Arabidopsis thaliana: one gene and its partners. The main gene of each other region encodes a partner of the protein of the gene in region 2 in a complex. Each region holds a gene or a part of one and is shown on either strand. Other genes may lie near its edges.

Region 1 (3,754 bases), 8.8 Mb from region 2:
CAAAACTCTCAATCGCAGCTCTCACGGCGTTACACGCCTCAAACGTCCGTCGAACACCGCGCAACGACGTCGTATAAATCACAACGCGATTCTCTCCGCCGTCACATAACCTCTCAGATTCCTCCGCTAATTTCGGATCTAACGGTTTCAAAACCTCGTAATCGTTAGGGTTTTTCAAATTAGGATCGGAGTTCTCTTTCTTTAATCCGCCGGAAAATCCATTACATTTCACCGGAATCGGAGAGAATCGACAAGTATCGCCGTCTAAACCTGACATTAGCTCCCAGAAGTTAATAACCTCCGTCGTCGGCTCAGACTTAACCATCATCATCGCCGCCTCCTTACCGTTGATAGTGAATCTCTCAGGCGGAGTCATTGGCGTGATAACGGATTTGGCGGAGGAGGAGGAGGAAGGAGACGGAGGAGAAGGTGAAGAAGAGTCGAGATTGAGAAGACCGTAAGTGGTGGAAGTTAGCTTGACGAAATGTTGGCTTAAGGAGGAGCTGGTGAGGTGAGAGAAGCTGCTGTCATCGGTCGGAGTAAGGAGGTTGGAGGAGACGCAACCACCCATCGCCGGAGATTTCGAGGATTAAGCAACGTCGGAGAAAAAATGAATCACGGAGATTGAGTGAAAGAGAGACGGTGAAGTGAGATTAAAGACAAAATAACATAAAACTGCTAATTAGATAAAACTTGTTTATATAAATACAATTTTTCTAAAGTTGGGAAGTGACAATGCACGTGGCTTTGGTGTTCTTTTTAATCCATATTTTTCGTTGAATAAAGAATTCTTTTTTCTTAACAAAATATTTGAGATATTTGTTTTGTTTGATTTTACGTTAATAAAAAAGAGAAAATACAAGGCTTAATTTTAGAACTAGGATTTAGAATCAGGACCACTATTTGGTTGGAGTATAAGGAACAGAAATTGATTTTGATAATTTCGTTAGAAGGAGATAGAGACATTTAACAAGTCAACAAAGTTCATGATGGTTATGGTAAAAATAAAAATAAATTCCTTGTTTAGGTTAAACTAAATAAAGAAAAAATTGCTTGTTGAGGTACATTTGAAAATGTTGAGGTACAATTGTTGAATGGATAATGAATTTTATAAAATCTAATAAGGTAATATTGAATCAATGATTTGGTATGATTATACCATGTTCTTCTTGTATTGGTCGTTGCGATTAAATTTGATGACTAAAAATTAAAGAACGAAATGAGAAATAAATGGCATAATTTATTATAAAATTCGTTGCTGGTTGTTCAAAACTGACAATGGAAGAAAAGCTGGATTATGTTCATTTAGGCCGCTATATTTTTCACGACTCCTACGTTGTTAGATCAATATCTCTATTTTTTCCAACGACACTTCTATTTTTTCAGCGACATCTCCGATCTGTCTATATGGATCATTTTACTTTATTTTTTTTAACGGCTACTGCCGTTTTACTTCGTCATAGTTACCGACGCAGTGGTCCATAAAATAAAAGAACCTATATATTTTCTTAATATCCATTTTTATTCAATCTGGTTTTATTTAATATTAAATTTTTTTATATAATTAAAATCAACATGTTATTGATTTTTATATATGTACAAGGTATGCAATAAAGAGTTTCACATCCGATGTTATTCGATGAAAAAAATAAAACTATCAATTAAACTTGTGTGCCTTAAATTTGGATATTAGAATGTTAGTCGATCGAAAAAATAAAATTAAAGTGATTAAAATATTATTAAAAATTGAAAATTTAAATGTAGAACTATAACAGTTATGTTTTTATAATACTTTTAAAATTCAATTTTCTTTTGCAATTTTGGTAGAAAGATATTTTAAAGAAATATCATAGGTATATATCTATTAAATTCGTAAAATTACCACTGATTAAACAACAACAAAAATTACTTCAGAACCGACTCTATTTCTGCTTAACCACCTCCATACCAAACAACGAAATTGATTTTTCCTGGTTAAGAAATTAGACCCGGACTCAAACTTTATTCGGGTCGGGTTATAAAACTTTTATAAATGCCCTCACAATCTTGTCTTGGTCGCTTCGCAATTTTCTTCTTTTTTTTGTTATTACTTTTTTTTTTCCTCCGATTTGAGAGTTTGCTTACCTCGGAACTTCTCTCCGACATCGTACCGTCTCGTCCGATTGAGCTGGTTTACCTTTCCGGCGAAGCTTACTTGTACCCTCAATTAGGGTTTCAAGAAAGAACCCTCCAATCCAACAATCTCGTATCAGTGAATGGTATCGTATCGTCTTCTTCAATTTTATCCAATGCTTTGATTGCAACTCAGCTTAACTCGAAAATTGATCAATGGGGTTTCGATTTGGTTGTGATTTTAAAGCCAAATTGAGACTCTTTTGATGAAGTTTCAGATAAAGAAGTTAGCTTTTTTTGTTTCCAGGTCCGTTTAGGTTGGCTTGTAATTGTGTAGTTTTTTTTGTTTCTTTTGAAGGTTTTGATTGAGTTTTAATGGTTGGGGATTTGGGAAGGACAATTGCCTTGTCGTCTCCCGATTGTCACCATTGTAGTTAAATCTTTGAATATGGCTGAATCCAATGGCAAGGGTTCCCACAACGAGACTTCCTCAGGTATATATATGTTGCTTTCTTTATCAAAGTTTGTTGCTTTTCTTTTTTCCGGTCCAGTCCATTGTCGACATGATTTCTGAAACTGGAGATGCCCCTGTCTAGCTTATGATTGTTCTACGGTTTTGAATATTTCGGATTAAGTCTCTTTAAGTAGAAAAGGAACAGCCTTGAGTGATTCTGAGTATTGGTTTGTAGGATCTTAATTGACAAAGAGATTGGAAATATTAGGTTGTGGAATTTTGGATTACTACAGTTTGTGAAACTAGAGATGTCCCTGTCTAGCTAGTGTTTGGTGCATTTAGGCTAGCTCATGACCGATTTACGGTTTTGAATATTTTGGATTTCTTTAAGTAGAAAAGGAGCAGTCTTGAGTGATCCTGGACATGTTCTAGGGTATAGTTAAGATTATTTTTTCTAAATTTCTAGAGGGAATTGAGTTTGTAGGATCTTAGATGACGAAGAGAATGGGAATAGTAGTTTCACTAGATGGAGGCTACTGTAGCCTGATAAGATGATGGAGAGGAATCCAATGATTATGTGACCTTGGATTTAGCAGTTTAACAAGAGTGTTAACATGCAATCTTTGTGATTTCTGAATACTCGTGATGATAATCAGTTATCACATGCATTCCCATTTTACACCAATATTTTACATGTCTGCCAAGATTTGTTTGGTGAACACCAATATTTTACATGTCTGCTGCAGATGACGATGATGAATATGAGGACAACAGCAGGGGTTTTAACCTTGGATTCATCTTTGGAAATGTTGATAACTCTGGGGACTTGGACGCTGATTACCTTGATGAGGTAATCTGTTTTACGCTTTCAGTATGATGACCTTGTTGAACACATTATTTTCATTATCGGTCTCAGTTTTTCTGTCTATTCTCTCTGGACTTAGGATATATGTATTTTATTAACTATGAGTTGCAAATTCTCCACCAAGCATACCTGTGCCAATGCTAACATTTAAACTTTTCAGGACGCCAAAGAACATCTTTCTGCATTGGCAGATAAGCTGGGTTCATCTCTACCAGATATAAATGTAACGTTCTACACACTCTTTAATATTTTATCTTCTAAAGTTTATAGACGAGTGAACTGCGAGTCTTTTATGTGGTTTTTAATCCTCTTTTTCTTGTACT
Region 2 (3,754 bases):
CAAGCACTTGCCTGCTAGCCTTGCAAGTGTCAGTACAAAGATGACTTCTTGAAGACTTGATTCATCTTCACATAGAATACAAACTCAACTTCACTTCAATTCTTCACTACCATATAGAACATCTTCATAAGAACTCTAATTACTTCTTTGATGTCTTCAATTCTTTAGATTCACTGCTAAACCTCAACAACTTCAATTAACTCACTCATAGTGTGTTCAGACATGGAACATATCATCATGTATCCTTTTCCTTAAGCGACTAAAAACTATGAGGTCTCACCAGGTACTAAATTCTAAACGACTAATCCACCTAACGACACCGAAAACTAGTGGTTTAAGACCACAAGTATGCTCACTGTCTATTGTCATGTCACAGAAAATTACTATCTGAAAAATATGGAGCCTAAATTTAATTTATGAAATCAGTTTTTAAGAAGATTCTCATAAGGCCCTAGTATCCATGAGAAGACACAAAGAGATGACCGAAAGAAAAAGGAAAGGCAGATAAACGTAGTAAACAAATCAAGAAAGAAGATGTGAAAATAGGGATATTTTCTAATCAGAACATAAGTAAAAATCAAGTGTTGGTTGTCCTATTTACAAAACATGCTCACCCGGTATAATAATCCCTTGGCAGGTAAATGTCCTTGACAGGACCAAACTGCTCAAACGACTTCCTGAGATCTTCTTGCCTGAAGAAAAGGACAAGGAGTAAGAAGAGAATTACAATTTGCTAAAAGCCAAGAAATGAAGATACATTGACGTCAACTTTTTGAAAACCTTTACAGTAAAGATAAGAGAACATCATGCCAAAATATGCTAAGAGGTGTCAAGTCTTCTTGCTTAAGAGGTGTGCAAACAATAACATCATCCACAATGGCTGAAGAAAATAATAGAGAAGTCAAAAGTATGTACCTGCAATCATGGCGTAGATTGCGAACCAAAAGACTGGTCGGGAGGTCCCTGCTACGACCTCCATATCGGCCTCTAGGGCTTGGGCTTCGACCCCTCCTCCCATAACCCCTAGGTGGTGACGGAGTGTAGCTCCTTCCCCTCATTGAGTCAAGCTTCAATCTCTCTATCAGTCAGTCAACACAAACTAGATTAGAAAATACACCAAAAGAGGTTGGATATTTAAGAGAGAAGAGACCACAAACACAAGAGCTATAACACCAGCGTCTAAGAGAACTTTAAAGAAGCAATCAATCTAGAAAGATCATATTTTCTAATTGAATAGTAAATTATATCAAAATAAGATCACATGCAATTCAGGTAGAGATCGAATCAGCTCAATTTCAAAAGATAGGAGCTAAGAAACGTTATATGTGAATAGGCACAAAAGATCACAACTTTCGTCAAACTTACTTAAGATGAACGATTCAATCCTTTATATCGATGTATAGACATAATAATTGCCTGATCTACAGTTTTTTCCGTCACGGGATCTTTCACCGGACTCAAAAAGTTGTACGGGCAACGAAGTTGTTTACAATTGAAGGAATCGAAGTCGGAAAAGCCAAGTTTATTCGACAGAGAAAGAAGAAGATACGGGTATATACGGTTGGGAAGAAGAGCAAAATATCAGGGATAAGACTTACCGGTGAACGAATCTCGGTGGTGAGGAACGACGGAGAAGTGATGCTGCAAGAATTGGAGAAGATTGATCAATGAACGACTTATTTATTAGGGTTTCTTTATATTATTTACGTTTTACATTTAACCCCCTCAAAATTATTTTAAAGTATTAAAATCCCCTTAAAGTTTTCTATTTGATAGATGCTCCATTCCAATTTCTGGTAATTAAATTATCTTCCTTTTTATTATCATTATACATTTATACTTAGTGAGATCAATTATCTAAGAGGAACTAAAAATGTAAAATTCAATAGAATTAAATAGCAAATTGGTGATTTTTCACCAATTGTTGGGTTCTGTTTGTACCTTTTATAATTATTTTGGTCAAAACATAAATCTTGAAACCTTTAGGGAGGGAAATAAAATAATAAATTGTTAAAAGGATACTTCTAGAAGGTTTATCTTATAATGTCTCTCTCTCTCTCTCTCTCTCTCTCTCTCTCTAACATAACAAAGAATTCGTGTTTCAGTTCAATAGATTCTCGTCTCTTTTCGACTTACGACATCAACAGACCGAAGTATACGTATTCGATACGATCTGCGTTCGCGAATTCACGTTTCTGGATTGATTAAGAAGAAGAATTCAAGTCAAGCTGTTGGTATCTACAATGGAAGAACAGTTCATACTTAGGGTTCCACCGTCTGTTTCAGAACGAATTGATCGGCTTTTAAGCGAGGATGCTTCTACTTCCGACGAAATCCCTTTGGATTTGTTTTTTTCAGGTACCAATTTTTAAAGGGTTTCTCTCTTTTTTGGCACATTACATCTGGGTTAAAGTTTCATCCTTTTTCTTAAATTTATGTCCTTTAGTCGTCAATCAATGAAATTAGTGTCTGGATCGTTTCGGGGATTGCTCCTTGTGTCACGTGATGAGTTCTTGAATGTTGGTTTGCCCAAAAGACATTCTTGAATCTGATTAAGGATCAAAGCTTGTGATTTGTGTCTCCTGGATCAGCTTAATGTTGTGAATTGTCTGTTTTGTCAAAGAAGCCAAAAGACATTCTTGTTGCATCATTATAGTTTGTCTAGAAATCCATTTGCATATTGTCTCTGGAGCAAACTTGATACGTAATGTTTGTGTGAACTGAATTTGCAGAGGATGGGAGAAACGGGACGTTTATGATTGGAAACGACGAGTTCCCGGCTTCTCTGCTTGATCTCCCTGCAGTTGTTGAGTCTTTTAAAACTTATGATGATTGTGCATTAGTCAAAACTGCTGATATTGGGCAGGTAAAATCAAGTTACTTGATTCATCTTTTACTTATATGCGTTAACTTCTGTAATTTTGGACTAAAACTCAATATGGATGCTTTGATTTGGCACACAGATGATCATGGTTAGGGAGCCTGGTGATCCTGCGCCTAATACAGTTGAATACAGACATGGTCTAACTCCTCCAATGAAGGATGCTCGAAAGAGGAGATTTCGTCGAGAGCCTGACCTTAATGTAATTTTCATTTGTTGTTATCTATCCATCAACATTGTTTCACTAATACTTGTGATTATGATTGAAAGTCTGTAGTGAAACGTATCTTTTGGAACTCCAAAGTTCTTTCTATTAAGTTAACATATTGATTTGCCAAAATGTTGCAGCCGGAGCTTGTACAGCGGGTTGAGAGAGACTTGTTGAATATATTGAGTGGCGGAACGGTAGAAAATGTAAGCTTTTCTTTCTATTTTCGACACATGATGTGTCTATATTTGCTCCTTGGATTTAGTAACTTCATTTATTTGAACTTTTTTTGGTGTAGGTACATGAGCAAGAGGAACCAGCTACGAACGAGAATGCTAGTAATGCAAGTAAGAAAGTATCTTCTTCTTCACCTACACCTGTTGAAAAGCCTGAAGCTCCTGAGACAGGCACTAGTAATCCAACAGGAGTTGAACCGGAGAGAAGTGAATCAGAAGATTCTGATGATTCAATGTGAGTTTATTATTATATAAAGAGATTTTTCTTACGAAAGCTTAGAGTTTGCGCAAGTCCTGTCTTAGAAAATCATGGATAATTATGTCCCCATGATTTGATGATGTCTTGTTCGACCTTTTTCAATGGAAAAGTTGTTTTGCGTTCAAACTACACCAAAGATTCTGTTTATTCTAGTTCAATTTCGGTTATTT
Region 3 (3,754 bases), about 19 Mb from region 2:
TATTAACGTCCTATCTCTTTGGCCCTGAACTGTTTTTCTTCACATGTACAGTAGAGTCCTTTGTTTCTTTCAAATTACAGCTTGATTCTCATATCTGCGATTTACTCCATCTATGCCTTTCTTTGATATTCATTTTAATGCTAATGCTCACATGGAATCTTGCTTCAATTCAGGTTACTGAGATGAGATCAAGCATTTCGCAAATTGGGTTTGATTTTAAGCAACTTAATGAAATGATTTCTGGAATAGTAAGTCTCATCATTGCCCTCTAATATGCATCATTGCCCTCTAATATGCATATTTTAAAGGGGCTAATATATCTTTACTCTCTTATATGAAATTTTTACAGGAAGGGAAGATTGAAAGTCTTGAAAGCAAACAAGTAATTTGTCTACAACCATTAGATACTACAAACCACTTCACGCTATCAATTTTCTTAAAACTAATTGATCTCAAACAGATATTTTTTTTGTTAAAATTTTAGGATGTGACCCTCTCTGGACTATGGCATCTATGTCAAGTTGCAGGCGTTAAAGACAGCACAAGTACTAAAGTATTTCAGGTGAGTGTTAACTTACAAATTAAGTGAAACGTTTTCTTACTTATTTTTCACGTAGTTATAGGCCTTAATGAAAAAAATCTTGTTTCTGGCTTTGTGGTTTAGGATGTTGGTGAGAGATTACCTATTGATGGAAAACCATCCACTAATACTTCTCTCTCTGTAAGAATGCTACTATACCTTTTTCCATCATATAAATGTGCATTTCCATTCTGTTGACGCAAAAAAGTTGCTTATAGTGAAAAAATTCAACGAGATGGTTGATCTTGAATTTGCATATATTCAAGGCAATCTCTCATCAAGCTTATTCGAATAAAAATTGGAACCTGAAAATACTTGTGGTAGTAGCTGTTATTTGATGATTTCATGTCATGATGTTTCTTTGGCTTTCTAAAACTATAAAACTATGGAAACTCCAGGGTCTGCGGTTTCTGACGGAAGGCAAAGAGGATGCAAATGTAATACACAAGCCGGTTATGGCGAAAGAAATTATGGTGATGGGGGAAAAAACAAAAGTCACTGCAGCGGGAAGAAGCAGAGTTCATAGAGCGTTTCCAGGTGGAATATCTTGGGTACGGGATGTTTCAGGACTATCCTAATATTATTTTGGTTGATATACAAAGAAATTGCTTGTATTCGTCCCAAATTCTGATACTGGGACTGGCAATTATTTTTTCATGTAAAAAGAAGAAAAATCTACATATGTTATTGCATCCACCAACAATTTGGTTTGCCCCTAATTATATTTGGTCTTGATGTTTGTAAAGAAAGAGTGTGATTAAGGCTTTCACGTATGTTGATGTCTTCATTGATTTGGACTTTTGTGCTCCTTTTTCCTTTTGTGTTTGGATCAATTTTGTTTGTGTAGAAAATAGAAAGAACTACCACAGAAGACAGAACTACTGTCTTGAAACATTTGTTTCGTCCTTTCTCGTAGGATTAATTGTCTTTAGTTGGCAGAGAAATAAAATATTTCGCTCTTATTGGGCCTTGGCCCAAAATAGATATAGAGACAGCCCAAATTTAATTTAACCCGAAATAGTCCAACCGGGTGAATTTGACAGCAATTAAAAAACCCGGCCCGGCTTCTTATATTAACAAGAGGCTTGGCATCGGTTAATCGGAGCTTCTTTCCTCTCAAGTGAAGTGTCTGGATCTTCGTCGCTCAACGCAAATCCCTCTCCGGTTCATGTAAATTTCCAACTTATTTTTGTGCTCGAATTTTGGTTAACGGGACAAATTTCACACTTTTACGGAGTATGGAAGCAGCCTTTGTCTTCTGGGCTGTTGAATTGCGATTCATTGTGTATGCCCAACAATGGTTTAATTGGGAGGTTCCAATGATTTTTTGTGCTTTTTTCTTACTTAATATAACCACTGTTGATGTTTCTTCTGTGTCCTTGTATCGCCACAGTGGATAAGCAGCCTGGGGAAGATGAGCATTGTACCTAAGGAAACGGTTGAGGTAATAGCTCAAAGTATTGGGATTACCAACTTGTTACCTGAAGCTGCTCTTATGCTTGCTCCTGATGTTGAGTATCGTGTCCGAGAGATCATGCAGGTTACCTTCTTTTTCTAATCATGTCTTTGTGTTCTTGAGGTGAGTTTTCTGGTATCAGCATATTGATCTTTCTGTACCTTCTCTTTGGATGTCCTTTCAGGAAGCTATCAAATGCATGCGTCACTCAAAGAGAACGACTTTAACAGCTTCGGATGTAGATGGTGCTCTCAACTTAAGGAACGTTGAGGTACAAACTCGATGACCTATTTCTTACTTCCCATTATCTAGAGTTTTGGTTGTGTAAGCTTCCTGGTTTTTGTAGTTGAGTGACAAAGATATATGGTTTCTAGTTTTGAGGTTTGGCTTTACTGGTGCATATGAATAACACCATCTGTTACACATTGCTTTCACATATTTCACTATTGTAGTCAACTGAATCAAAGGCATCTTTTTGAGAGTGATTATATCTATTGCAGCCGATATATGGATTTGCCTCAGGAGGGCCATTTCGTTTTAGAAAAGCTATTGGACATCGCGATTTGTTCTACACTGATGACAGAGAAGTGGATTTCAAAGATGTAAGATGTTGGAAAAGCTGGCATGTTTTTTTTGTTTCAGTTAAATTCTTCATTTTGGGTTCCTTATGTTTTCAAGAAATGTCATGATTCTAGGTGATCGAAGCCCCGCTGCCAAAAGCTCCCCTTGATACTGAAATTGTTTGTCACTGGCTGGCTATTGAAGGAGTGCAACCAGCTATACCAGAAAATGCTCCTTTAGAAGGTTTGTCTCTCAATCTTATGCCCTGGGCTAGAGTTGTAAAGTCATTATATGAATTTTTCAACATGAAACAAATATTAGTATGTACAATGACGTTTCAGAGGTGTATAAACCTCTTTCTACAGTTACCCCGTGTTAAGTGGTGAGCTTACTGATGTTACTGAAAGATCAAAATACATATTTTCAGATCCATCTGTATTATTGTTTTGCGGATCCGCATGAGCAAGAAATCCTTGTTCTTTCCTATCTTGACTATATTTTTCACTTGTTTGTGTTGTCTCTAGTCATTAGAGCACCTGCAGAAACCAAAATCCATGAACAAAAAGACGGACCTCTTATTGACGTTAGGCTACCAGTGAAGCATGTACTATCTAGGGAACTTCAGGTATATGGTGCAGTCTAAATATCATAGGGTAATATCCTTACATACATAGGACTTATCTGTTGTTCTCTCTTCACAGTTATACTTCCAAAAGATTGCTGAACTTGCAATGAGCAAGTCAAATCCTCCTCTGTATAAAGAAGCATTAGTGAGCTTGGCCTCAGACTCAGGACTTCATCCTCTAGTTCCATATTTTACAAATTTCATTGCTGATGAGGTAACATTATGCACCACCGAGGAACTAGTGTGAACCAATAAGACCCACGTTAAGTTTTTGCAGTTTTAATTTTCTCCACTTGTGCAGGTTTCAAATGGCTTAAATGACTTCCGACTCCTGTTTAATCTAATGCACATTGTTAGAAGTCTTCTACAGAATCCTCACATACACATAGAACCTTATGTAAGTTTTCTCTGGATTATCTTTTGCCACTATCTAAAAAATTGTAGAATCATGTAGCTCCATTTTCTTTAGGCTTCTGATTTGGGTTTCTTCAAGTTCTATATTAGACATATTCTATATAATGGGTATCAAATG

The links.
Region 1: TAF7 (region 2) and HAF01 share a complex: the UniProt entries of both Arabidopsis thaliana proteins name them as parts of the TFIID complex.
Region 3: TAF7 (region 2) and TAFII59 share a complex: the UniProt entries of both Arabidopsis thaliana proteins name them as parts of the TFIID complex.

The regions. Positions count from the first base shown.
Region 1 is NC_003070.9:11,855,068-11,858,821, reverse strand, and holds the start of HAF01 (HAC13 protein (HAC13)), read left to right. Parts: upstream 1-2,056; 5' UTR 2,057-2,258; intron 2,259-2,470; 5' UTR 2,471-2,560; coding exon 2,561-2,606; intron 2,607-3,312; coding exon 3,313-3,416; intron 3,417-3,591; coding exon 3,592-3,654; intron 3,655-3,754. Other genes in the region: AT1G32760 (Glutaredoxin family protein), read right to left, coding at 1-571. UniProt on the Arabidopsis thaliana protein: TAFs are components of the transcription factor IID (TFIID) complex that is essential for mediating regulation of RNA polymerase transcription. Core scaffold of the TFIID complex.
Region 2 is NC_003070.9:20,627,980-20,631,733, reverse strand, and holds TAF7 (TBP-associated factor 7), read left to right. Parts: upstream 1-2,041; 5' UTR 2,042-2,243; coding exon 2,244-2,358; intron 2,359-2,732; coding exon 2,733-2,866; intron 2,867-2,963; coding exon 2,964-3,083; intron 3,084-3,229; coding exon 3,230-3,580; 3' UTR 3,581-3,711; downstream 3,712-3,754. Other genes in the region: SCL33 (SC35-like splicing factor 33), read right to left, coding at 12-47, 615-692, 916-1,058. UniProt on the Arabidopsis thaliana protein: TAFs are components of the transcription factor IID (TFIID) complex that is essential for mediating regulation of RNA polymerase transcription.
Region 3 is NC_003070.9:1,405,425-1,409,178, reverse strand, and holds the start of TAFII59 (TATA BOX ASSOCIATED FACTOR II 59), read left to right. Parts: upstream 1-1,647; 5' UTR 1,648-1,750; exon of another isoform or gene 1,751-1,973; 5' UTR 1,974-1,994; coding exon 1,995-2,120; intron 2,121-2,220; coding exon 2,221-2,307; intron 2,308-2,536; coding exon 2,537-2,638; intron 2,639-2,731; coding exon 2,732-2,840; intron 2,841-3,121; coding exon 3,122-3,222; intron 3,223-3,298; coding exon 3,299-3,436; intron 3,437-3,523; coding exon 3,524-3,619; intron 3,620-3,754. Other genes in the region: AT1G04960 (golgin family A protein (DUF1664)), read left to right, coding at 174-248, 350-382, 485-562, 665-721, 979-1,158. UniProt on the Arabidopsis thaliana protein: TAFs are components of the transcription factor IID (TFIID) complex that is essential for mediating regulation of RNA polymerase transcription. Required for proper pollen function. May stabilize the interaction of TFIID with selected promoters.